Linked DNA regions of Danio rerio. The protein of the gene in region 6 purifies or fractionates together with the protein of the main gene of each other region. This does not show direct contact. Links are inferred from orthologs where the notes say so. Each region holds a gene or a part of one and is shown on either strand. Other genes may lie near its edges.

The links.
Region 1: the proteins of stx8 (region 6) and stx12l purify together in Homo sapiens (affinity purification with mass spectrometry; 3 studies listed by BioGRID and IntAct, counting the BioPlex papers as one, with this or other methods). This does not show direct contact. The link is inferred for Danio rerio from reciprocal best matches to the Homo sapiens genes STX8 and STX12.
Region 2: the proteins of stx8 (region 6) and vamp4 purify together in Homo sapiens (co-immunoprecipitation; 3 studies listed by BioGRID and IntAct, counting the BioPlex papers as one, with this or other methods). This does not show direct contact. The link is inferred for Danio rerio from reciprocal best matches to the Homo sapiens genes STX8 and VAMP4.
Region 3: the proteins of stx8 (region 6) and vamp3 purify together in Homo sapiens (co-immunoprecipitation; 3 studies listed by BioGRID and IntAct, with this or other methods). This does not show direct contact. The link is inferred for Danio rerio from reciprocal best matches to the Homo sapiens genes STX8 and VAMP3.
Region 4: the proteins of stx8 (region 6) and stx7l purify together in Homo sapiens (affinity purification with mass spectrometry; 5 studies listed by BioGRID and IntAct, counting the BioPlex papers as one, with this or other methods). This does not show direct contact. The link is inferred for Danio rerio from reciprocal best matches to the Homo sapiens genes STX8 and STX7.
Region 5: the proteins of stx8 (region 6) and vamp8 purify together in Homo sapiens (co-immunoprecipitation; 5 studies listed by BioGRID and IntAct, with this or other methods). This does not show direct contact. The link is inferred for Danio rerio from reciprocal best matches to the Homo sapiens genes STX8 and VAMP8.
Region 7: the proteins of stx8 (region 6) and sybl1 purify together in Homo sapiens (affinity purification with western blotting; 3 studies listed by BioGRID and IntAct, with this or other methods). This does not show direct contact. The link is inferred for Danio rerio from reciprocal best matches to the Homo sapiens genes STX8 and VAMP7.

What each region holds. Positions count from the first base shown.
Region 1 is NC_133191.1:7,959,399-7,963,436, reverse strand, and holds the start of stx12l (syntaxin-12), read right to left. Parts: upstream 2,801-4,038; 5' UTR 2,789-2,800; coding exon 2,704-2,788; intron 2,356-2,703; coding exon 2,245-2,355; intron 1-2,244. UniProt on the Homo sapiens protein: SNARE promoting fusion of transport vesicles with target membranes. Together with SNARE STX6, promotes movement of vesicles from endosomes to the cell membrane, and may therefore function in the endocytic recycling pathway.
Region 2 is NC_133195.1:16,244,147-16,247,646, forward strand, and holds part of vamp4 (vesicle-associated membrane protein 4), read left to right. Parts: intron 1-108; coding exon 109-155; intron 156-276; coding exon 277-327; intron 328-3,128; coding exon 3,129-3,229; intron 3,230-3,500. UniProt on the Homo sapiens protein: Involved in the pathway that functions to remove an inhibitor (probably synaptotagmin-4) of calcium-triggered exocytosis during the maturation of secretory granules.
Region 3 is NC_133186.1:42,699,741-42,703,240, forward strand, and holds part of vamp3 (vesicle-associated membrane protein 3), read left to right. Parts: coding exon 1-135; intron 136-3,500. UniProt on the Homo sapiens protein: SNARE involved in vesicular transport from the late endosomes to the trans-Golgi network.
Region 4 is NC_133195.1:49,559,518-49,563,493, forward strand, and holds the start of stx7l (syntaxin-7), read left to right. Parts: upstream 1-1,176; 5' UTR 1,177-1,225; intron 1,226-3,976. UniProt on the Homo sapiens protein: May be involved in protein trafficking from the plasma membrane to the early endosome (EE) as well as in homotypic fusion of endocytic organelles. Mediates the endocytic trafficking from early endosomes to late endosomes and lysosomes.
Region 5 is NC_133180.1:28,878,231-28,882,373, forward strand, and holds the start of vamp8 (vesicle-associated membrane protein 8), read left to right. Parts: upstream 1-1,343; 5' UTR 1,344-1,426; coding exon 1,427-1,453; intron 1,454-4,143. UniProt on the Homo sapiens protein: SNAREs, soluble N-ethylmaleimide-sensitive factor-attachment protein receptors, are essential proteins for fusion of cellular membranes.
Region 6 is NC_133181.1:25,853,213-25,856,712, forward strand, and holds part of stx8 (syntaxin-8), read left to right. Parts: intron 1-3,351; coding exon 3,352-3,453; intron 3,454-3,500. UniProt on the Homo sapiens protein: Vesicle trafficking protein that functions in the early secretory pathway, possibly by mediating retrograde transport from cis-Golgi membranes to the ER.
Region 7 is NC_133189.1:9,609,540-9,613,818, forward strand, and holds the start of sybl1 (vesicle-associated membrane protein 7), read right to left. Parts: upstream 2,801-4,279; 5' UTR 2,623-2,800; intron 1-2,622. UniProt on the Homo sapiens protein: Involved in the targeting and/or fusion of transport vesicles to their target membrane during transport of proteins from the early endosome to the lysosome. Required for heterotypic fusion of late endosomes with lysosomes and homotypic lysosomal fusion.

The DNA.
Region 1 (4,038 bases), on a different chromosome or scaffold from region 6:
CTAAAGGTCAAACGACAAAAAATAAGATCAAGAATCTTGGTGTGACTCTGGAGTCAGATCTGAGTTTCAATAGTCATGTCAAAGCAGTAAGTAAATCAGCATACTATCATCTCAAAAACATTGCAAGAATCAGAATGCTTTGTTTCCAGTGAAGTAACTTCTTCATGCTTTTATCAGCAGCAGGGTGGATTACTGTAATGGACTCCTCACTGGCCTTCCCAAAAAGACAGTGAGACAGTTGCAGCTCATCCAAAATGTTGCAGCCAGGATTCTGATCAGAACCAGAAAATCAGAGCACATCACACCTGTCCTCAGGTCTCTACACTAGCTCCCAGTTACATTCAGAATAGACTTTAAAGTATTGTTACTGGTCTATAAATCACTAAATGGCCTAGGACCTCAATACATTTCATATATGCTCACTGAATACAAACCTAACAGATCACTCAGATCTTTAGGATCATATAAACTAGAAGTTCCGAGAGCTCAGTCAAAGCAGGGTGAATCCGCCTTCAGCCACTATGCCCCCCGCTGCTGGAATCAGCTTCCAGAAATGATCAGATGTGCTCCAACATTAGGCACATTCAAATCAAGACTGAAAACACATCTGTTTAGCTGTGCCCTTACTGAATGAGCACTGTGCTGCGTCGACAGATCGCACTATTATGCTTTTCTTTTCTTTTTCATTATCTTATAACATATTTTAACACATTTTTATCTGTTTTATTTATTTTTATTCGTATTTTTATAATTCTTATTATTTGTTTTTATTTTCTTACTCTTGTTTCTTTTATTCCTGTTTATGTAAAACACTTATAATTGCCTCTGTGTATGAAATGTGCTATATAAATAAACTTGCCCTGCCTTGCTTTTCCACTTAGTCCCTTTAACAATACGGGGTCGCCACAGCGCAATGAACTGCCCATTAATACCTATTCAAACTAAATAGTTAAAGATTTAACAGATAATGCAATCTTTTCTTTAAGGAACTCTTCGCCAAGTGAAAAACATAATTCATAATTTACTCATCTTGAAGCCATCCTAGATGTACTGTACAACATGCCTTTCTATTTCAGACAAACACAGAGTTATTAAAAAAAAAAAACTTCCCATATTTTTTATAGGATTTGATGCTGCCCCAGTTTAAGATTTCCATAAAAATAATCCATATCACTACAGCGTGTTATTCAATGCTCTCTAAGGGGAAAAAAATCTGTATTGACATACAGTAAGAGCCAAGCTATCACATATGAAGTAGGACATAAACATGGATAATTTTAATATAAATAATAATACAAATGTACAGGATATCCAAAACTGCCAAAATTCTAATTTAAGATTTACACTATTTCATCGAGTAACATGTTTCTGGATCAATATCTGTGTTTCCAATCAGCCAATTAGATTTAAGGAATACGTTTACAGTTATGTTTAAGTTTAGGCTTACATTTAGGGTTATACAAATCTACATCAGTATATTAATCCCCTCTGATTTTGGGAATAATTTACAGTAAGGGTTAGGCTTATCATACATAGGCTACTTCCCTTGAGAATGTGCAAACTGGAAAAGCATTAAATGTGGATATTTTTCTGACAAAAACTAATTCCTTCACTACAGAAACCATCTTTACCCATGGAGTCGTCATGTGGATTATTTTTTTAAAATTGATGTGTATGTGTAGAAAAAAAAATCAAGCCAGAAAATTACTTTGTGTCATTGTTTTTGTGCTTGTCTAAAAGAAGAAAGGTGTCTTCAGGGTCAGTAAACTGTTTACACTGCAAAAAAATGCTTTTCTTACTTAGATCTTTTGTCATGTTTCTAGTCCAAATAGCTAAAAAATTCCTAATTTAAGAATAATTTTCTAGACAAGCAAAGCATATTGTCTTGTATTGAGAAATAATATTCCAATATTAAGTGAGTTTTTCCTTAATACAAGCAAAATAATCTGCCAATGGGGTAAACAAAATAATCTTACGTCAAAAGAAAAAACAAGATTAATTTGCTTACCCCATTGGCAGATTATTTTGCTTGTTTTAAGGAAAAACTCACCTAATATTGGCATATTATTTCTCAAGACAATATGGTTAGCTTGTCTAGAAAATGCTTCTTGACATAATAAATTTTAGATATTTAGACTAGAAACAAGACAAAAAATCTAAGCAAGAAAGGCATTTTTTGCAGTGTAATTGCACGCATTTCATTTAAACGATCACTTAAAGTGTGTCTGCAATATATCTACTTACTGTTTTGTGTGATTTTCTGGATGTTTGAGCTGCATGTCTGCGTGAGGTTGTTGAAATCTCTCGGCTGTGACTGTGAGTGGCTGCTGTCCATCATTCCGTAAGACATGATGACTGAAAAACAACAGCTGCATGATCAGATGCCATAAATCACATTCACTTTAGGTTAACTGTGTTCGCGCATTAAATATAAATAAACGACTTATTTTATGTACAGGTTACACATTTCTGAAAATAGCAGTAGATAAAACACGTAAATGAATAAACCTGAAACAAATACAGAAAATGTAGGCTACTGCGTACGCAACGCAACACATTTCACGTCGGTAATGGCTCAGCAGGCCTGTCGCTGCAATAAAACAAGGACTAATTATGTACGTCTGAAATTATGTAAATATGCTTGCACGAATGTCAACAAAGCGAACGGTTTCAATACGTAAAGAGTGAGAATGAATCGCATACCTGTAACTGTGATGCTCAGATGCGGCGGCGATGCGCTGCTCCTCTCACAGAAATCGAAATGAATAGAAAGGAAACACACGATCATAGCGGTAACACTAATAGGCGGAGCTTAGATTTCTGTTTTGACGGGTCTACTTTAACTTATTTCTTTTATTTGCTTTGTTAATGTCGCTTAATGTTAATGTTATTATTATTATTTCTATAATGTGCAAATTATTGACTAGATAATATGACTAGAATCACGCTGGACCATTACAGCTGTCATGTGTTACTTTTGGGTTTTGGCAGTGAAACAGCCTAGCCTACTATATTCAAGTGTATTATACATAGTATAGCTTGTTTATAACTTTGTTAATGAATGCCACAGTAGTAATACAGTGTGTATATACACTTTATTAGGTACACCTGTATTTTGTAGACACAGTTAAGACGATCTGCAGCAGTTCAAACCGAGCATCATTATAGGAAAAGAAAGGTGATTTAAGTGACTCTGTATATGGCACGTTTGTTGGTGCCAGACCGGCTGGTCTGAGTATTTCAGAAACTGCTGATCTACTGGGATTTTCACGCACAACAATCTGGGTTTACAGAGAATGGTGCGAAAAGAGATAATATCCATTGAGCGGCAGTTCTGTGGGCGCAAATGCCTTGTTGATGCCAGGGGTCAGAGGAGAATGGTTAGGCTGGTTCCAGCTGATAGAAAGGCAACAGTAACTCAAATAACCACTCGTTACAACCGAGGTCTGCAGAAGAGCATCTCTGAATGCACAACACGTCCAACCTTGTGGCAGATGGGCTACAGCAGCAGAAGACCACACCGTGTGCCACTCCTGACAGCTAAGAAAAGGAAACTGAGGCTACAATTCACAAAGGCTCACCAAAATTGGACAATAGAAGATTGAAAAAACATTTCATGGCCTGATGGCTCTCGATTTCTGCTGCGACATTCAGATAGTCAGAATTTGGCATCAACAAAATGAAAGCTTGGATCCATCCTGCCTTGTGTCAACGGTTGAGGCTGGTGGTGGTGGTGTAATGGTGTATTTTCTTAACACACTTTGGTCACATTAGTATTGTTATTAGTATTGTTGCTGACCATGTCCATCCCTTTATGACCACAGTGAACCCATCTTCTGATGGCTACTTCCAGCAGAATAACAAGCCATGTGATAAAGTGCGAATCATCTCAGACTGGTTTCTTAAACATGACAATGAGTTCACTGTACTCAAATGGCCTTCACAGTCACCTCAATCCAATAGGGCACTTTTGGGATGTGGTGGAACTGGAAATTTGTATCATGGATGTGCAGTCTACAAATCGTGAAATGCTTTCAT
Region 2 (3,500 bases), on a different chromosome or scaffold from region 6:
CTCAGACTGTTATTTCAAACACCTGGTTTCAATTCAGACAGAACATTAGATTAAACCCACAATGCCCAGTTGTGCCCAGCCTGATATACTCATCTTCTTAATTTGCAGAGGAACCTACTGGAGGAAGACTCTGATGAAGAGGAGGACTTTTTCCTGTAAGTCTGCAGTTGTGCATAATCACTCTTGAATTGGAATAATAACAGATCTTCTGCATTAATTATTGTTTGCGTCCAGCTTTTGATTTGTCTAGCTTTTTTTTAATGTTTTTTTTTAAAGGAGAGGACCGACAGGACCAAGATTTGGAGGTCAAAATGATAAAATCAGACAGTACGTACACAATTTTTCTTTTAAATTTTTTCTGTTGTTTATGGTTTGTATGTGAGCAGCACTAGTTCTGTGTTCCCTTTGTGGATTGACAGTACAATACTTCTCATTTCAGTCAGTTGTCGTCCATTTGGTCTGTTCTAGCATAGGCTTTTGGTCCAGACACTATATCTATATCTATAGCTTATTTAACAATGCAGATTGTGTCAAAGCAGCCTAACATAGATGAAGAAAAGAAAGTAAAAGCAATAATATTTTAAATTGTGGAATTTTCCAGGAATTCAGGCAGGTAGGCCAGAGAGTAAAGTCGAATGCTGGTGTAGTTCTAGTAAATTGAAACTGTTTCACTTCCGTTTTAGTATAAATTCAGTTTAGTTCATTGATATAGGGTGTTTACACCACACTTGTAATTAGATGCACAAATATTTTTAGTTTACTTCATTCTTGCGTTAAAATCAGTTCACAATAGACAAAGATTGATGTCATGGGAGGGCATCTGTCTGCCTTGTGACTTCAGCTTTGTTGCTAATGGCTAACATGAATTTTATGAAGAGAGTAGCTGTGCTTCTCCAGAAGCTGTGCCAGGATCACAGAAGCCTTCAGTGGTATTTCCGACTGAGCTAGTTCCAGTTTGATGAGCTGTTGTCCTGTTTTCACTGGAGGATTTTTCCCTTGGGACACCATCAAAAGAAACTATGTTGTAGTCATGGCCCTAGTAGAGCAAGTTCCTGGTTAACGCTGCACCAATGTCCACCAAAGTTCAGATTTTTCAACTGAAGTGTCATTTGCTCCATTCACATTATTTGCTTGATTCACTTCATTCGTGCAAGTAGCGTCGCTGGATGTCTAATCACTTCTTTGCATTGACCTAACATGTAAATCACTTGCGCTAGACCCTACATCCACATCTGGTGTGAGCCTGCATCAATGCAAATATCATTGCTGAAGGCCGATCCACTGAAGAGCAGTCCACCAATGTGCGGCTTCACTAGTGCAGCCAAGCAAGCAAGAGGCGAAAGTGGCAAGGAACCAAAATTTCACCAATTGAAGGAAGTGAAGAACAAGCCTTGAGAGAAATCAGGCTAGACCATTCTTAATCTTGCTAAATGTCTTGTACAGAGGTGCAGTATGGATGCCACAGGCTTGAGAATAAAGGATGCCCGTTGGGGAAAAGGTGCAGGTCCAGGTTGGTCACTAGGCAGTTGTTCAAACTAGCAGACAGGATCAATGCGTTGACCGATTTGTCACTGGGGTCTTTGCAGAAACCGACTCAATGACCACAACAGCCATCTGCTCAGGATATGGGTTGTATTAATCATTTTGTAGACCTAGTGATAAGAAAAAACAGACTAACACAAGCATAAACATGTTGGCCTGGTGTGTCCCAGGCTTTCATTGATTCCTGGTAATTTGGCATGCCTTTGACAATGCATTGTTTTTATGTGAACAGTTTTGTTTTTTAATGTAAACAAAATCAGAAAAAAATATTTAAAATATCCATGTGGACATGGCCTAAGATTGTAGTCTGAGGATGCAGTCTGTGTTGAGGCTGAGACTAAAAGAGAGAGTCAAAGTTGGGACCAGAAGATGGTCAAGTTTGAGTCCAGGCAGAAACCTAGAGAGGGTTGAGTTCAAGTCAAGACTTGATGTTTTAAGTTTGGTAGTTATTTTCAGAACTGAAAAACTAGAAATGTTCAAGTAGTAGGATGAGCTGAGCTTAAAAATGTGGAGGCAGATATCTAGAGATTTACACTGGCAGGGTGTTATGGAAATCGCAGTTCTTGATTCAACCAGCACTGCCCATGTCGTTGTGCTTGTAGTTTATGTAACCCTTTATAATGACATCTGTGAAAACACCCACCCACAAACACACCTCCCGTCTGCAAAGAAGGGAAGCACTGTAACCATCTGGGTTTCTATGAAACAACATAATATTTGCAGGCAAAAGTAAACAGCTACTCCCAATATTCAAAAGTTCTTCTGGTCCTGACGTGGATGTAGTAGCCAGACTGTGAGCTTTTCTTTGTTATGAAGTTTGGTACATACTAATGTGTTGCAGTAATTCTCCCAGTGGAGACCTAGCAGAGCTTCGCCCAGTGTGTGCAGCCACACGACACCAGCTTTACGTAACCATGTGCTGCACTGTAGAGTGACCCATAAAACAATGGAATTTAATAGGGAAACCTTGGAAGGTGAAATTTTCCTAATGTTTTTTTTTTTTCTTGCCTTTGTGTACTTCTCTGATTTTTGCACTTACTTCATTTGTCTGTTGGTTATTGATGTGGAAGCAGGGCTGCACGTGGAAGGTACAATTCCAGGTGCAAGAGATGTGCAAGGTCCTGTGCCATTGGCACTGATGATGGTTTGTACTAGGCGGGCATCCAGGCACAGAAGCAAGGGGCAAAACATCCTGTTCTCAGTTCATTTACAGGTTAATCTCCCTTTTCAAAAGCCATGCCAAGCTCTTGTGCCAGGTGTATGAGAGCAGCTAAATACCTCACATGCTATTTAGTGCGTATTTGCTTGTCATGCCTATGAGATCAAATATTTCAAACTATTTGGATGTGTCTAGACTATGTCTAGCAAAACATTCTCACCACCTCTCGACATTGCAGGGTCAACAGATCATAGTCATAATGATGAATCCCGAATGGTTTATAGAAGAAGAAAAGGTTCACTTTTTCAAAATAATAGAATCACAGGCCTAAACATGTGCACAGAAGCTGTTAAAATGTCCTGCTGAATCGAAAGGAAGTACCATACCATTCCCCTCATGTTGTCCTCTCTGTCTTGTTGGTCTTCAGGGTGCAGTCTCAGGTCGATGAGGTCATTGACGTCATGCAGGAAAACATCTCCAAAGTGATCGAACGAGGAGAACGTCTAGATGAGCTGCAGGATAAATCTGGTAAGATGGATGTGAACGAATCATTGTGAATCCTTTGCCACTTGCTAATTTCTTTAATTCCAAGAGAATCAAGACATGATTCTTGGACCATCACAGAAGTTTTGTAGTTTCTTCTTCAGACTGGGAATCTGTAGTATTGTGAACATGGGAACAATTTCATTTAAGTTCAATTAGGGCTGGGCGATATGGCAAAAATGTAATCTCGATAATTACTGTCCATATCGAACAATTAAAATATATATTCTGATATCAGTTGTTAATGCTTCCACAT
Region 3 (3,500 bases), on a different chromosome or scaffold from region 6:
GTTGATAAAGTCCTGGAACGAGACCAGAAGCTGTCAGAGCTGGATGATCGTGCTGATGCCCTGCAGGCCGGAGCGTCTCAGTTTGAGACCAGTGCCGCCAAACTCAAGAGGAAATTCTGGTGGAAGAACGTCAAGGTAAAACTAGCAGTAAAACACTAGTAGTTTAGTAATACTTGCTTCAGTAAATCAAATTTAGGAATGTTTTTTTGAAGTTACATCTAATTTATTAATAAAATGTATATGTTTTCAGTGTTTTGAGGGATATTAAGTGACTTTTAGAGGTTGCTGTTGGTCAAACTATACAAATGATGCGTCTAATTTTTTGTTTTTTAGGCTACATGCAGATATGAACACCTATTTTACGTGAAACGTGTTTTGTGAATACTTAAGTTGTCCATCAGAGCTCTTGAACTGCCCGTTTCAGACCGTTGAATATTATTTTTTAGAATTGATTGGTGCGATTATGCATTCACAATGGTATAAACCGTAATGGGGGGTCAAATATATAGTTATTTAATAAATTTTTAATTATTAATATGTAAGATATAGACCAGAGAAAGCTATTTCTTACTATTAAAGGGCTGACCCCCATACATCTTGATTTGATGTCCTTCAGGGGGGGTCAATCGTTAATTAGAGGAGTCAAACCCCTGTAATTCGCTCCCTGCTTTTAATTAATTTCATTAAAGGCATGATTAGGTTATTAGGTTAACTGCAGTAGGTTCACACCGGAGGAAACACGAACACAGGGAGAACATGCAAACACCACACAGAAATGTCAACTGACTCAGCCGAGGCTCGAACCAGCGACCTTCTTGCTGTGAAGCGACAGCTTTACCCACTGCGCCACCGCGTCGCCTACATAAAAATGGTCAATTGTAATACTTTGATTGCATTAACACGTTTCTGACCACCAGACGTCCCTACAACGTAGAGTTTCAGACACTTCAAAACGTTGAAACATTTTGCGAAGCAATTCTTCAATTGCTTCTAATGCTGGGTTCACCCAAGACGAGGAAGAAGTGTCAAGCACGAGTGCTTTACATGTTAAGTAAATGCAAAGATGCTAATAGACATCCTGCAACGCGATACGTGTGAATGAAGCGGCGCAAGTTGATCGTTTTGCACGTATCACACAAATCGCTCGAGTTGAAAAATCTGAACTTCATCAGACATTCGAGCCTCGTTAACCAATCATGAGCTATGTCTTGTAGGGGCGTCACTATGACGTAGCGCCTGTTGTTGGTGTCCCAGGGGAAAATCCTCCTGCCGACACTGGACAGCTTATCACACTGGGCTTGGCTCAGTCAGAAGCACTGCTGAAAGCTCCATCGTCCATGTATAGTTTCTGGAGGAGTTTGAGCTCAGAGCTGGGTGCACCTTTGAATGGATCTAGTGCACTCAGACACGGCACATAAACGCAGCTATTCTCTCAATAAAATCAATGTTAGCCATTTAGCAATGAAGCTAGAGTCACCGTGCAGACAGAAGCCCCGCCCATGGTGCGAATCCGTGTCTGTTGGGAAGTGAATCTGATGCGCGAATAAAGCGGGTAAACTTAAAATGTTTACGCGCGAATAGCACGATTTATCTGTGCGTGCACCATCTAGTGTGAACACAGCATACGCTTTGAAAAGCTTCATTTCTGCCATCAATAGTGGCTACATTGTTATAGTACAACGACTAGCTGTAGAAGAGCAAGCAAATACCACGTGGAAACAGGACCACAATGTCTCACTTCAGGGCTCGAAATTGGGACCATTTTGGTCGCATATGCGCCCGAAATTTAAGCTATGCGACCTCATAATATATATTGGGAGCATTCGTGCGACTGCATATAATAGTTGTAGTGCGACCTGTTTTTTTTTTTTTTCTCAAAACGTGGTAAAATCGGTCTTCCCTGCCGATATATTGGTTCATATTAGCTGTCAATCACTCAAGATTTTCCGCTGTCAGTCGACAGGGAGAGAGCTTTTGTAACCTTGGGGAATGCAAACGGCTGAAAAGTGAAAAGTACACTGAATCTCGATGCGTTGCATGCACTGCATGTTCAGCCAACACAATCTCACGGCAATTCATAACATTTTCAAAAGTTTCCTCGTGAGATCAGGCTGCAACAGCGCAAATGTCCGCTAAAACACCATCGCCAAAGAAGCTTGCCTTTACTGAGTTTAAACTGATGCGGGTTATAACAAAGAACAGTGTTGCCCCTGTGGTCATCGGGAGAATCCTGCCCTGCCCCCCTCGTATTGGGCCGGCTGACTCGCATGCTTTTCCACAAACACATATGTAATTCAGCGCGTAACGACGCTGAGCATTAAAACGACACGAACCGAAACACGAACTTTTAAAAGTGAGACTTTTCTTCCTTTCTTTTGTCCGTTCTTTCTTGAGGTGTATATTATTTTTCTATTTAATTACTGATGACTGCTTTTCAGCTTTCAGCATTGAACTAAATGATTTATTATATTATTTCGTTTGTTTTGTTGCAGAAATATTATTTATTTAATTGACATGCATATAAAACAATAGTACAAAATAAATATTTCTTACTACAATGCTTCATTTGTGTTTGATGCAAACCATTAATTTATTTTTCATAAAGTAACTGTAGGACTATATAGCAGATAACTTACATTAAAGCGGGACTAAATTTTGAATCCCGCTCCCGCCCGCACCCGCCAGGTTTTAGCCGGAACCCGACCGCTCCCGCTTATATTAAGCACTTGATGTCCCGCTGCCCGACCCGCCCCGTTTTCTATCCGCCGCGCCCGATCCCGCTAAAGAGCGGGGGGAGAACAAAACCGAATAATCACCCAGTTATACAGTCCAGACAGTCTATAACAAGCTGTCTGTATAAACACACACACGCACGGCACCAAGCACACACACACAGACAAAGCTTTTTCTCTCATTTGCGCGCGCCCTCTAACACACACTCATAAGCACCAAGCACAAACACAGGCAATAAGGCAAAGCTCTCGCACACACACACACACACACACACACACACACACACACACACACACATACACACACACACACACACACATACATACACACACACACACACACACACACACACACACACACACACACACACACACACACACACACACACACACACACACACACATATCTGTCATTCGCGCGTGCGCATACATACACACACACAAACAAACAAGCTAAACACAGCATCGCGCTATTTCATTTACACACATACATACGCGTGCTCACTCGGGAGTCGGGAGCGATATTGCTTGACAGCCCGCTCCCGTCCCAAATTAAACCCGCTACCGACCGCTGCCGTGATTTATTCGGAAATTTATACCCGCGCCGTAGAAATCTGGTCGGGTCCCGCGGCGCCCGCGGGACAGCCGCAGGAATGCAGGCCTCTACATTCAAGGCAGCATGATGATGAGAAATATAATTCATTATTAGTATTATTATCATAATTAATATTTTATAACTATTCAACATTCATTTTGGAATTATTGCAC
Region 4 (3,976 bases), on a different chromosome or scaffold from region 6:
TGTGTGTGTGTGTGTGTGTGTGTGTGTGTGTGTGTGTGTGTGTGTATCAGGCCCGGATTGGCTAATCGGGAGGACCGGGAGAATTCCCGGTGGGCCGGTGCGTTTTTTGGCCGCGAGGGCCGGTGTCCCTAGCTCTAGAATCTGTTGCTCTCAGCAGTCACACTTTTTAAATTAATTTATTTACTTACTTGACTACAGTCTTCTTATTCATCATTTTACCGCAGCTCTGCTCTTTTTATATATGACCAGCCTGCAGGTTAATGACGATATTAGTCAGATGAGTCAGTCCTTCATATACAACTGTTGTGGTCCAGTGGTTAGCACGTTAGATTATGACGCTAACTTTCAGTAACTCGCAGCGACATATATAATATATATATATTTATATATATATAAATAATTTTTTTTGTCAATATTTAATTTACTATTAATCTCACTTAATGACAACGGTGAGCACACTGTTTGCAGCACAAGACTATTCTTGGTTTAATTTTGGGGATCGTCCTCTATGTGTAGTCGTGGCCTTTATTTTTTATGTACACGCGTGCCGTAAAGGTGTCAGAGTTTAACATTGTGCCATTAATCTAGTGTAATAACCCCAGGGGTTGGAATCCAATGGGAAAAGAATTGAAAGGCTGATGGCTTTTTATTTGCATGCTGTTATTTTATTTAACTATTAAATACCATGTTTATCTTCTGTAAGTTATGGATAAAATATGGCTATTCTAATAGTTTAATAACATATATTAAAGAGAAATCACCAAGCAACCCACCCTCATTGTCTCACAAACCCCAATTTGGGAACCACATAGCTATACTACTAGTAGCCTACATAAATGTTTATGTGAAGTATGCTTAAGATATATCAATATTAACTAACTATACTTAATAAAAAGGAACGTGAAGTATACTTCTTTTTAGTAAGGTTAGGCTACTTATTACCCATGTGGAAACCAAGTTAAAGTCTACTTTATTTTTGTTATGTAGGCTAGTTTTTTTTTTTTTTTACTTTTTTAATTGGGGTAAGTTAATAATAATAGACATCTGCCTAGTATTTGTCGATCTAAACATATAGTACATAAACTCAATAGTTTAGTATATGCGTCAAGTACATTACTAATCTACTACATGTTTCTGAACGCACACGGAAGATAGAACAGAAGTCACGTGACCCGCGCGTCAAAGAAATCAGCTGAGGGCTCGGAGTTTCACTCAGGAAATCCAGGTAAACCGAACAACCAAAGTACATATTAAAGTAAACGATGCGTATTTATAAACTGTACATGTGTGCAGACTTTACGTAAATAGTTGTTGAGGGTAGTTTAAAAGAGAAGTCAGTAAAGTAGCAAGCGCAAAGTTCATTCACTGAAGCATATTTGTTGACAGCGCGATTTGTGTTCACTTGACATGAAACTACACTGTAAGATTCCCGAATGTTAATGTTTGTTGTGTGTCAGCAAAGTTAAAACAATAGCTGTCTAGTTTTATAAATGAAAATGCGTGTTTGTGAGTTTGTGAGCCGTGATTTCCGCATTCTTTCGTTTTGCAGGTGCAGCGCAGATCGGTTTTACTAGTCATCTGTTTAGTACTAGCCTGCTAACCAATAAACAACATTACGCCAGCTATTTTCGAGTAATTATTGAGCTAATAAGGCATATTTCAAAGCAAGGTGAGCAACTATATGGGGCAAGTTTTCTCGTTAATTCAAAATGACAACAGTAATATCATTAAGGGAGATTCTAAAACGCATGAAATAAGCTTAATAATTGAGGTTAAGTTGATTTTATACTATAGACTTTATCCTTAATAATATAATTTTGGCTAAGAACTGCACATTCTGATTAGGGACATCATATTAGCATCTAATGACTTTCAAAGTACACGCTGCTCTCAGTCAATTAAATAATGCTAATGTTTAGGTCATACTTACATGTGATTTCAGACTTCATATATAAAGTAGCATGGTAAACAATATAGGGAGTGTATCACAAGTTGTCACTGAAAGAATGTGCGAATATAAAACCAACTTTGCCTCAATAGCTTAATATACCTAAACATCAACCAGAGAAGCCCACATTTCGATCAAACTTTACTTGTAATTAACCCGAACTACTGTTAAGACAGAGTCCCAATTCCATAAGTGAAAAATATCACGCTAAGCGTTTTCTCCACTATTGAAGTCTATTATAAGTAAAAGCTTAATGTGGCTTAATGTACCTCAACAACAAGTGGGGGGAACCAAATTTCTATCAAATTTTACTTGTGGTTAGCACTAACTATATAGCAAAAAAATTAAAAATTTGCCCCATTTCCACAGCTTAAGTGAACAGCGTTTTTCCCTATGTTGTTGTGGGGATGTCAATGACATGCACAAGTGCATTCTTTTGACAGCAAAGGGTTAATCTATAATAAATTAAGTTAGATTTTTTGAACAGCTTTTTTATAATTTGGTTTCCCTCTGTTTTTAAGTCAAGCTTTCCTTATTAAGGACTTCAACGGGGAAGAAAACACTTAACGTGATATTGTTAACTTTATCTGTGGAATTAAGGCCCATTCTTTTAAAAATAGTTTGTCTTAATCACAAGTAAAGAAATTTGGGTTTCCCTGGTCTGGGTTAAGATATGTTAAGCCACGTTAAGCTGATTCCTTATAATGCGCTTCTGTGAGGAGAATGCTGAAAGTGATATTGCTCACTTGATACACTAAAATAAAAGCTTGTTCTTTTACAGCAGTAAGTGTTTTTCATGAATATATATCTATAGAAATTTGATTGTCTCTAGATGTTAAGTTAAACCACATTAAGCTGTTATAATGGACTGAAATGGGGATAAAATGCTTAACAACATTGTCCGCTTTATCTACAGACTAAGGGCTTGATCTTTTGATAGTAGTTAGTGTTAATCACAAGTATTCGATAGATTTTTGGTGTACCCCACTTGTTGAGGTATACATTAAGCCATGTTAAGCGTTTTCCTTTTATAATGGACTCAGTGGGGAGAATTGCATACCGTGATAATTTTTACCCACTAAAATAAGAGCTCATTCTTTTGACATCAGAAAGTGTTTGTAACTTTTATAGAAATTTGGTTTCTCCCACTTGCTGTTAAGGTACATTAAGCCACGTTAAGCTTTATCCTTATAATAGACTCCAATGGGGGAGTAAACGCCTAACATGATGTTTTTCAATTTATCTGCTTAATTGGGACTCATTCTTTTTACAGTAATTAGGGTTAATTACAAGTACAGTTTGACAGAAATTTGGGGTTTTCTGGTTGATGTTTAGTTACATTAAGCCCCGCTTTCTTCATGTTAAGCATTTTTGAATGTCCCCATTAATATAATTAAGAAACGCATACAAAATAGTGAGCAATTGTTTTGGTCTCCAAATAGTACAGTACGTTTTAAGGGTAACTTAAAGTTGGTTTATATTCACACATTCAGACTTTCTCCTTAATATAATTTCAGAAAACTATTCTTTACTAATACTAAATAGTCAAATCATATTCCCAGCAAATGACAATTAAAGTACAGCATTGTTCATGGTCAATTAAATAGTGCTAATGTTGTTTTGGAGGCATATGATTCAGACCGAATATTTAAAGTAGTAAACAATATAGGAAACATGTCACAAGTTGTCCCTAAATGAATGTGGGAATATTAAACATTAATAAGTATGTATAGTTTGTGTAAAACATGTTTACAACTCGTGAAAGTCTGTCACTACTTGACATTTATTAAAAACGTCGCAAATCCAGCATTTCAGTTCATACATGTTAATATACAAACTATTCTGTAGCATGTAGGATCAAATATAATGATAGTTGAATGTTATTGAAGGAAGAAATTGATAAGCCATATGTAAAAACACGTTCAAATAGTATGTTTTAGGAGCAATGTATATAAGAAAACATGTTTATGAATAAATTGTATAAGCTTGTTATTATGTAGCGCAGTATAAGAGATAATTGTGCGATTG
Region 5 (4,143 bases), on a different chromosome or scaffold from region 6:
AAAGTGATCTAAATATTTCAATTTTGTTTATCCATTCACTGTACATTTTTTTTTTTTGTAGGCTTCCCTCTGCCATGGCTACTAATCTGTCAGTACCCTTGGCTTTCGTGGCCCTTCTGCACTTGGCTAATGAGAAAGTGAGTACTTTAAAATAGTTCAACGCTTACTATAGACGAAGATCTAATAAATATTCAGTGTTGATTTACTGTTAGCATGCTGTCTTGTTTAAACTTGTTTTTGTAACCTGCATGTAGAAACCTATTGTTTGTGTATTTAATTGCTGTGAATCTAAAAGTGGTTCTTTCCATCAACAGAACTTGGAGCTGCACAAAATTGATGGCATGACTGATATCATCATTAAACAAGGCCACTGAAAATCTGACACAAATCTTTTATGCACAAATTGTCATTTGTATCAAAATGTAAATCCGCTTTCTTTTGTTCTCCATGGCATGTAAAAATACAAATGTCGGGACAAAACAGTATAGCCAAGAGGAGGAGGAGGAGGAGGAGGATGATGACGGTGGTGTCAGGATTATGATAATGTTGTACAGGGAAATACCAAACCACAGACTTTTTTATTGATATATATATATATATACACACACACAAGTGAAAGTGAAAGATGTCAGAAGCATTCACCAAGAGGAAAAAACTCAACATGGTGCAGTTTGAATAATGTTTGCTTTTAAAATCAAGCGTTTTGATAACTTTAGCAGCTTCAGTAAAAAGTAAAAATATTAATGTGCTGTTTTCAGTGTCACTGTTTTTTTATTGCATTATTTAAATTGTAAAACATAATTTCTTAACTTTGAGGTTTCTTTTAGATGTGTATTGTACATACCATTTTCAAAAATAAAACGTGTTGTCACATTTATGCTTGGTTTTGTGTCTAGTATGATTTTTTTTTAAATAGAATAATGCTTTAAATGCATGCAATGCCAAAGGCGTTTAGGTGGAGTTGTTGAAGACGTATTGTGTTTCATGCATAGGAATTGAACTATTTTAACTTTGTTTTTAAGCAGTTTTCATCATGCTTGAAATTATAAACTTCTATAAATACCACTGAGTTTAATCACACATCAGTACTTTTAGAAAACTCACTCTAATCCGGTTTTACAAGACGCTTCTCATACCTGCCGGGAAGACGTCTAGATGGCATGATTATAGTATTTGCACTCACCTTACAGGTGTGTTTGTGAGATGAACCCGGCGCCATCTTGAGGATGCTATGGGAAGTGTCGCATCAGAGGTGGGCCAAAGCCAAGTCATTCGCTGCTGGAGGAAGAGTGAATTAGAGACCAGGAAGTGTTGACACGGCGTACATCTATCGGTTACACTAGAAAACAGTTGCAAACATTTTAATTCTAAAGGATAACGTGTATTTTTTATATTGTGGAGTAAATAAAAAGAAGCTGGTGAAACTATGGGTGTAACTGATCCAAACAGTACGGTAAGTCACTAATTTTAACAACAGTCAGCAGGTGCTTTTTGTTGCATCGTTTTTAAGTTTATAGTTAACAAAACTGTGCGAACTTAATTTCTCTTGATATCTGTGCGAATGTTACTTTTAGTGGTGCAAACATTAGAACAAGTCAGTGTGTGTGCGTGTCTTGTTTTTCACCGGTTGGTGTTAGTTTGACGCACTCCAAACAGGGCGAAGCTTGTTTTTCAAGTTTTACTTAAGTTTCTACGTTCCTGTTGTCAGCAAATGTAGATAATTTGCTTGGTTATCTTATACAAATGTAATGTTTAAATAACACATTTATACTTGAGATTAGTACCGTTTATATTGGAATTTTCTTGTACTGATTTGTTTACTCAGATGGATTGAATTTACCTTGAGCTTCGAAGCATAACCGGTTTGCATGATACTGTTGAGCTCCACTCTTACTGAATGGGCCCTCAGTTTAGAAATATATTCACAATAACTTCAGCTTGCAAATGTGCTGATAACATAACACATCTCTTTGACTGTTAAACTGAACCAGAAGTGTTAGGTCCTCCTGCTCGTTTGCTTCAGATCAGGTTGGTCAACTGTCAACACTTGGTTTTAAAATCATTTCACAAGTTCCACTCACAGTGTAGAGACTAACGTTACTTCGATGTATGTGGCATTGTGGTTAAGATAAAGTTTGTCTGTAGTGTTTTAAATAAATAATATATTCAATTTGTCATTTGAATGCTGGTCCTTGAAGGAAGCAAGCATGTCGTTGTTTAATACAAATATTAAAGAAACTCAAGTTTAAGAAATGGAAAATTACTTACCCTTGTTGCAAACCTGTTTGATTTTTCTTTCTTACATAAAACACACAGATATGTATTTTGAAAAAAGCTGGAAACCTGTAACCATTGACTTGCATAGTATTTGTTTTTCCTTCTATTGAATTCAGTGGTTACATGTTTTTGGCTTTCTTTCAACAGAAGACACTCAAAGGTTTGGAACTAATTGAGGGTGACTAAATAGTGAGTAAATGTTCTTTTTTGGGTGAACTTTTCATTGAAGATGATTGTTTATCCCATTATATATCTTTGATACATTTAAGTTTTAATTAAAAAAAACAGTTTCAACAAAACATACTTGCGGTTCACATAATACCAAATTATATTCTTTTTAATTATCATGTTGTTTCTGTCACATTATAAAGTGGATCGCACACATCACACTATTTTGCCACAATATTGGTACCTCGAACTGCCAGTATCAGATGTTACCTAATAGCTTTCTGCCATCCTGTAGGTCTTGTGACACCAACACACACACACACACAAAGAGAGAGCCATTGAGTATAATAGAAGGGCAGGACAGGTAGTGACGCAACAATGCTTTTGGTTTCCTGGTAACTCCTTTTGTTTATGAGGTATCTGCCGAACAGGAGAGCTTAAATGTGTTTAAAATGGCTGAACGTGTAAAAAGCACAGAGAGTTTACTCTTAAGACACAAATTGCACAATTAACGGCTAAAGATTGCTTCCATGAGACTTGTTCTATGTTTAAGTGTAGCAGTATTTTATTGGTGCTTTAATGTGTGAATGTGGTTAGGCTTTCTTGTTTGGTTTTGCGAGTATCACACATAAGGTGCCACATCTACACTACAGGCGAATTATACTGTATGATGTCTTGGAGTTGTTTTTATTTGGATTAAATATTCTGTCAAATGCAATTGAGTCACACAAATTCAGTTTGTTGTATTTGAATTATATTTCAGAATGTTAAAATTGGCATTCATCCAATCCTATTAATGCAATGTCATAAAATACTTTTCATTTCTCTAAAATACTTCAAATTTACAATACTTTAAGTAAAGCAGTAAATACTTTTGAAGAAGAATGTTGATGTTATTGCATGCCTTTTACATGTGTAAATATATCGCAGTGTTGCACACATACTGTACACATCATGTTGGATATATTGGATCTTTCCATGCTCAACATCTAAAAACCAAATGATCAAATAAATTATTATCAAATTAATTATTAAACCAAATTCAAATTGTGTGCTGCACATTTAAGATTATACAGTATATTAAAAATAAATACATTTGTAAAGTAGTTGATATAATTCTCTAGTAAACCAATGTAGTACTAAGCTCCGATATCTCTTGACCAATAATGGACAATGTTGAACATTAATGTTTGTACTTAAAAATGCACTCTATGTAATACCGTTGACCTTCGTACACTTTCTAATCTAATGTCTATCTTCTTTCATTTATTAATTTTCTTGTCAGCTTAGTCCCTTTATTAATCTGGGGTCGCCACAGCGGAATGAACCGCCAACTTATCCAGCACATTTTTACACAGTGGATGCCCTTCCAGCCACAACCCATCTCTGGGAAAAATGTCTATCTTATCCTTTTTAAATAAAACTTCCTAGCTCTGACTTTCTTCTTCAAATACACTTTTATTTGTTCTAATACTGTCTATAGAGGTTGATCTACTTCTAGCACTAACAATCTGTTTTCTGTACTTTTTTCTTTTCTAAATAATTTGGCCTTCTGGCATAACGCAGTTTTCTTTTTCTCTCTCTCTCTCTCTCTCTCTCTGTCAATTCAAATCAATTAAATTCAATAATTGTGTTATTTGCATGACAATTGTAAGAAATGTATTGCCAAAGCATTCATAAACTTTACTTTAAAAAGAA
Region 6 (3,500 bases):
TATAAATCCCCTTTACGTAGACACACACACGCCACAAAGCCACGGCAAAGGAAAACTTTAGCTAGTCGCCTGCTGCTCTCTTTCTCTTTTTCTCTGTAGAACTATACACTATAGCCCTTTGGATGGCAGTTGTTTGTCTTGGGGACCTAAAAGGTCCTTATAGCTTATCAGAAAGTGAAAAGAAAAACTTAAAACATTTGCAGTGGATGTTTGAGTTTGTAATGAGGTTAAATATTTAATTCACAAGATTTCTAGAATTAATAAAACTCAGTTAATGTAGACTAATGGACATGTTGGTTTGAAATTTTGGATGCAATTTTAAATACATAGGAATTATAAGGAAAGGATCTAACGCAAACTCTCAAAATAAAATGGTTCATATGGTATTGCAAATAATGTACTGTAATAATATATATATAGAAAAATCTATAAAAAAACAGAAAATGTACTGAAAGTTTTTTACAAGGTTTCTATAACATAATTAAACACCAACCCAGACAATGTATCACTTTAAAATATTAAAAATGTTAAAAAAAGTCATCTTTTCAAACTTTTTAAGGTTAGAAGTTGTCGGAAGATCAAAGACCCATAATGCAAATTAAAAGCAATTTTTTATTTTTTTTTCAAAAAACATGAATCACAAAATGCGGACAACTGCTAATTTATGGATATTTTTTACAGTGCAGGTAGTGAGAGAAAAAGACAGATGTTTTTTTTTTTTTATTCGGACAGGAATAAAATCTCCAGCCATCTTGAAAATAAAAAAAAAACATCCAAATAGGATGTTTATAGCCAAATATGATTATTTTTAATGTTTGTATTGCACAATGATTGCTACAGTAAAGTACTTGAAAGTCAGTTAAATTACAAATATATTACTAGAAATTGACTTTGGTTTAAGTAAAAGTCACTGTTTTGAATATTGTATTGAAGCCTGTATGAAAGCACTGATTACTATACGGTTCTATACCACCTTAAAGGATATATTATCCAATTGATGTCCAAAGAATAGGAGAAGAGTAAAGAGGTCATACACAAATTATTTTGTTCAAACAATGTATCAATTTCTTTATGATTAGTGTGTAAACATAATCATCACAATACAAATCAAATAAAATAGCGTAGGCCCACGTAAATGAAAACAATTATCATATAAGATGACAATAATTACAGTACTGTAAGGTTGTAATATAGTGGGGAAATAAATCCCAATAGTTTCAGAGGACTTATAAACAGAAAGGTCCAGCGATCACTTGTAATATGGTGAAATAAGTCCCAATAGTTTCACAGAAAAATCCACCTCATAAACAGAAGGTCCAGCGATCACTTCAGCAGTCGATCAATAGTAGTGATGTCATCAGCCAGTGTGCAACATTTGCCGGGATCTTCATTTGCAATGAATGTATAATGTATAATGAGTGATTGTGTAAAAGCAAGTGATCAGATTAAGTTAAATGTTGCTGTAAATGTTCATGCAGTAGCGTGTGATTTTGTATGTATGTGTGTGGTTGTTTCTTCAATGACGCACATCATAAAGTTCTGTCAAACTCTGAAGTAATCACACCACATCTTCCTGTCATCTGATAGGATTCAGTCAAACTGCCTTCTCTGAGGATGCTGTGATTGCAATCCTAACAGTTTGTTGGCTTTAACTCTCGAAACTGGCGACTGAGCATCACGATGCGCACCTGCCTTTCTCTCTGTTCCTCTTTCATTACTGTGTCGAACACTTTCACTTTATTCATTAAACTCGCGAGCGGACCTTTTAACCACGCCCACATAATAACAAAACAGGTAAAGACTAAATGTACAGTTAGAAAACAAAATAATTAAACAATCTTTTGTACAAATATCACTTGAGTAAAAGTTTTAAAGAATCTGATATTTATCATTTTTAGCTTAACTTAAATTTTTACTATTAAATAAGGAAAGTAGAAGTACATGTAAATGCTGTAAATAAAATAAAAGCTTAATCTTTTTTAATATAACAATGTCAAAAGCCAATAAATATTTACATTTTTTTTTGTTTCAGCGTGTAGCATTATTCTGCTCAGTTTTTACACTCAAAAAAACAAAAAACAAACCTTGGATTAACTGAATTTAATTGAGGGCAGGATTTCCATCCAATAAGTTTGTTTTGCACCAACTAAATAAAACAATTTACACAATTAAATGCAATTGACTTGGTCCAACATGATTTTATCAAATAAAAGTTTAAATACTTTGTATTTTTATTTAACTTAAACTGAAATGACTGATAATATCATGTATGTTCATTATGTGTTGTACCTTTCAAAGTCTTTTTGTTTTATTTGAAGTTATCCAAAATAAACTAAAATAGCCATTTTTAAGCATATTTCATGAGTTACATATACAATAAATTACGACTGATCTCAGAACTCAGAAGACAGTTATTGCTGACTGAGCAAAGCCATAAACTGCATTTTTGCTAATTAAGCTGCAAACACCTAAAGGATGGCTGCTTCTAAAAGGTGGTCATCTCAAAACTCAAAGCATTACATGAAACTCTTCTAAACCTCCAAACTAAAATGAAGAATAAACTTTAACAAGTCTTTCTATTAACTTTAAACACTTAAGATTACTTGTTTTGTCAACATTTTCCTTTCTTAATACATCCCACCCAAAGCATGTTGGGAACTACAAAAGCCCATAACCAGGTAGTTGGACCAACACAATTCCTTCAAGTTATCCCAATCCAAAACTCTTAAGTTAACTTAATGATTTACAAATGTAAGAGGACTGAACATAAAACAAAAGAATTGACCAAAGAAATTACAAGAATTGTGTTGTTTCTGCTCATTGTAAACAGGTTGAACAAGCAGCACTAATCATTTAGTCACACTTTATTTTGATGGTCCGTGTGTTGAATTTAAGTTCAGTTGAATCTACTAGACAACTAATTCTCATTAGATTATACGTAGACTGGAAGGTTTGGATTAGGGTTACGATTAGTGTAAAGTTTGCAAAGTTTCTTATAGTCAGTTAAATGTCTGTTAAAGGAGCAGTATCAACAGATTGTAAGCAGACAGTCTATTAATATTCAAATGGACCATCAAAATAAAGTGTTACCAATCATTTTTTTTGAGTGTACATTAAGTTTTTGAATTTTTTTTTTATTAAAGCTAAAATGTTTGGTAGAATTGTTATAATTTATGAAAGAAATGTAGTCCAGTAAAAGTGAAATTTGCCAGAATAGTAAAAAGTACAGATATTCACAACAAATACTTAAGGGCTGTATAATTACTTCATTACATTACACCATTGCATGTGTCCTGGAAGTAATTAGCAATATGATGTTTTTGTTCTGAATTGTCCTGTTGTGTATTTTAGAGATAATCGATGACCTCGCTCAGCTTGTGGACAAGACGGACGGCCGCATCAAAAACGAGACAAAAAGAGTCAAGCTGTTGGATAGCAAGTCTGCTTCCTGTGGTGAGTTTTCTGCCTCTGTAGAGCCACTGGTTTAATGTACTCGACAT
Region 7 (4,279 bases), on a different chromosome or scaffold from region 6:
TGTGAAAAATATGGAAGTTTTATAGAACTGTATAAATGTACGAAATATAACCATGAACTAATACAGTGTTTAGTTTACAAAATCATAGCTTAGTGCACAAAAATGTAAAGTCTTTAAATGCAATAATGTGTTCACGTGTGATTGCAACTAGCAAACAGATTTTGACTGCATTAGTAACTACACAGTCACCTTTAAACAAAAGAAGATGCAGCATAACATTAAATACTCTTTAGTTCATCTTGGACTTGAACACAGACGCTACTAACCTCCACAATGGTGACACAAAAACCGTTTTGCTGTTTTTTTTCTTCCTTTTTTGATTTTACGGAAAAATACCAGCCGCTGTGGTTGCCAGTAATCTGCTGTTTTCAACATTTTACATTCATGAATTCAGTTTACAAAATATTTCTGTTAAAAACACATTCCACAGTCTGTATTTTTCATCGAACACCATGGTTAAACAATACAGGGTCATGTCAGAAGTTGTCAATGAACAAATGGGCGAATATAAAACCGACTTTACCTTTTATCCACTGTTTACCAGGCATGCGTTCATACACTGTAAAGTTGCTATTAAATTTGCACATTCGTTTACTGACAACTAGTGACATGCTCCCTATATTGTTTAACATGGTAATAGAATGGAGTATTCAGTGTGAAATTGCACGTATGAATTTAAATCAAAATTAGCATTTCACCATTTAGAATTTGCACAAAATACTTTTCTAAAATTATATTATTAAGGAGAAAGTCTGAATGTGGGGATATAAAACCAACTTTACCTCAACCGTATACAGAATCTTCTGAACATACAGAAGATATAAAAAACTGCCTTCTTTCATCTCCGCAATATTGCACGGATCAGACCATTTCTCTGATGCAGAGAGGCTTATCCATGCCTTCATCACATCACGTCTTGATTTTTGTACTTTGTACTGACTTTTTGGGGGTTTACCTGCAAGTTCTCTCAGAAGACTACAATATATACAAAATTCCGCTGCACGGGTTCTAACACACACATCATCACGCCACCACATTATTCCTGTGCTACAACAATTACACTGGCTTCCTGTAAAATCACGGTTTGATTTTAACTTTTAAAGCAGTGCATGGGTTAGCACCCAGTTACATCTGCAACCTGTTGACCCTCGCCACCGGAGCCTGCAGTCTTCGTTCTGCAGACTTACATTGCATCAGCCACGGTGTAAACTCAAGACCATGGGTGGGAGGGCTTTTTACCGTATACAGAATCTTCTGAACATACAGAAGATATAAAAAACTGCCTTCTTTCATCTCCGCAATATTGCACGGATCAGACCATTTCTCTGATGCAGAGAGGCTTATCCATGCCTTCATCACATCACGTCTTGATTTTTGTACTTTGTACTGACTTTTTGGGGGTTTACCTGCAAGTTCTCTCAGAAGACTACAATATATACAAAATTCCGCTGCACGGGTTCTAACACACACATCATCACGCCACCACATTATTCCTGTGCTACAACAATTACACTGGCTTCCTGTAAAATCACGGTTTGATTTTAACTTTTAAAGCAGTGCATGGGTTAGCACCCAGTTACATCTGCAACCTGTTGACCCTCGCCACCGGAGCCTGCAGTCTTCGTTCTGCAGACTTACATTGCATCAGCCACGGTGTAAACTCAAGACCATGGGTGGGAGGGCTTTTTCACACAGTGCACCTAAGCTTTGGAATGTACTCTCCATCAGCATTAGAAATGCTGCCTCTGGACTGTTTTAAGAAACTTCTTAAGACTCACCTTTTTAGCATAGCTTTTAACTTAGGATGATCATTTTGTTTAACTTTTTATTTCTATTTTATGCTTCATATTTTTATTGTTTTATTGTATCTTTTATTGTTGTGCTGTTTTGTTTGCCTTGTGTATTAGTGTTTTGCCTGTAGCGCTTTAAGTATAAAGCGCATTACAAATCAAATGTATTATTTTATATATTATTCTATATTATGCAACAGGCAACTATCAATGTTTTGATATTAATATATGGATTTGTGAGCTTTTAGTTTATCTGACTTACTGTATACATGCATATCAGACACAGTTAATAACATGACTTGCGTAAATTACAAGCAACACGATTTCACAAAAGTTAATAACTGAAATAACGTACAGTAAAAGCTATAATAGATGTGAAGTTGGTTTTATAATTATATTCGGATATTCAGACATTCTCCTTAAATGTCATTAAAGTATTTGCAAATTCTAAATAGGAAAATCATAAAAGCAGCCAGTGACTAGCAAAGTACAACATTGTCCACAATCAATTAGATAATGTTAAATGTTGTTTTGAAGACATACTTGCAAGCTAATTTCGATCGAATATTCAACGTAACATGGTAAACAATATACAGACTGCTAAATGAACGAATGTGCGAATATAAAACCAACTTTACCTCTATAAAGCTATACAATAATCGCACTAGTTGTAGTTATTATTGACTAGTCTATAGGACATCAAAACGACGAAAAATAATAAAATAACAGTGTCTACGTGACATTAGTCTGATGATAAAATACTGTTGATGAAATCAGATGAAGTCGATGATATGATCTGTTGATCGATCATCATCCGCTATATGTACGTTACCTGAGATTCTGACGGACAAACAGCCGCTCGTGCTCCTCTCTTTGACGTCTTTAACCCACAGTGGCATAAACAGCACTTTCATTGCCTTACAAACATGTCTGAAATGCTAGGATTGATCAAAATAGCGCCGGTGTGTGTAAATCCAGAAATCAACAAACGTCACTGTCTTCCGCGTTTCGTCATTCACTGGCGACCACGAAGAGATGTCTGCATTGCGTCACACACGCGCGCGCACGAGCTGTTTGTTGGTACTGTACGGTAGATAGTGCTGATTTAATCATTTTGATGTGATTAGGTTTGTATTGTGAAATAAAGCACTAGGTTTGCGATGCAATTTAAAGATATGGATGTTTTAACGAGTTCTGTAGTCTACATAAAAAAAACGAGCAGTGGTGGAAAGATTGTTGAAAAATCATACTCAAGTAAAAGTACCATTACTTGCCCAAAATGTAGTGCAAGTAGAGAAAAAGTATGTAAATATTGCTCAAAAAAATGTAGAAAAATCATACTCAAGTAAAAATACTATTACTTGCCCAAAATGTAGTGCAAGTAGAGTAAAAGTATGTAAATATTACTCAAAAAAAAAAAGTAAAAAATAGCCCTTTCAGGCCCGTAGCCAGTCTGGTGAAAGGGGTGGTTCTTTTTTTCTCAAAAAGTGGATTTTTTTTGCACTTATACACCTCAGTTTCTATTTAACTATGAGATTTAAATACTACATTTTAGTCATATATATATATATATATATATATATATATATATATATATATATATATATATATATATATATATATATATATATATATAAAATTTTTTTTTTTTTTTTTGCTGGATTAGCTAGTCAGATGTTATCATAATCACACTTTTTGATGTACTGAAAATATTTCCTGAAAAAATGCAATAAAGAAAAATTAAAACAAGACTATTTTTAAATACAAATTTATTACATCATTTATCATTAGGAAAAAATAGCAATCTGTTAAAGTTTTAAAGTAAAAAAAAGTAGCCCACTATCATTTATTAGACAAAAAACAAACTGGCCAGCACATTCAACTGTCCTCAGTCACAATTTGGCCATTTTAATAAAAATTATAATTAAAACATAATAATAATAATAAAACGATAATAATGAATTCTTTAGAAATTTTCTAGCCTCTTTGGTAAAAAAAAAAAAAAAAGTATAAAAATTCCTGAATATCAACAACACCCAGATAGCATACAAATGTAGGCCCCTTTAGGCAGTTATGTTGCACTGTTGGTCTTTTTTCGGGCCAGACAAAATAAACGTGAGCCTGAAGTGGTCCACCTGTACAATGACAAAAGGTGGCCAAGATTCCAATTAATATAAGGACCATTTAAGGCAAAGATTTGGCACTTATGGCAAAATGTAATCTGAATGTGAACCTAATGTGGCCCATGTGGAAAATGGTCAATTTGGCCCAAATGATAGAGGACAAATGTGGGCCACATTTGGCAAAAATTTGGCATAGTCATTAGAGGGTAATCTGGGTCTAAACTCAAAGTGGCTCACATGTGTAGGTGCAAATGTGGGCCAGTTATTATAAAACAAATGTGGGCCACTTTTGGCAAATATTTGGCACAGTAAGCTCTGGCTAATGTGGCTGTGAGTCTAAAGTGGTCCAGATGAGATATGACAAAT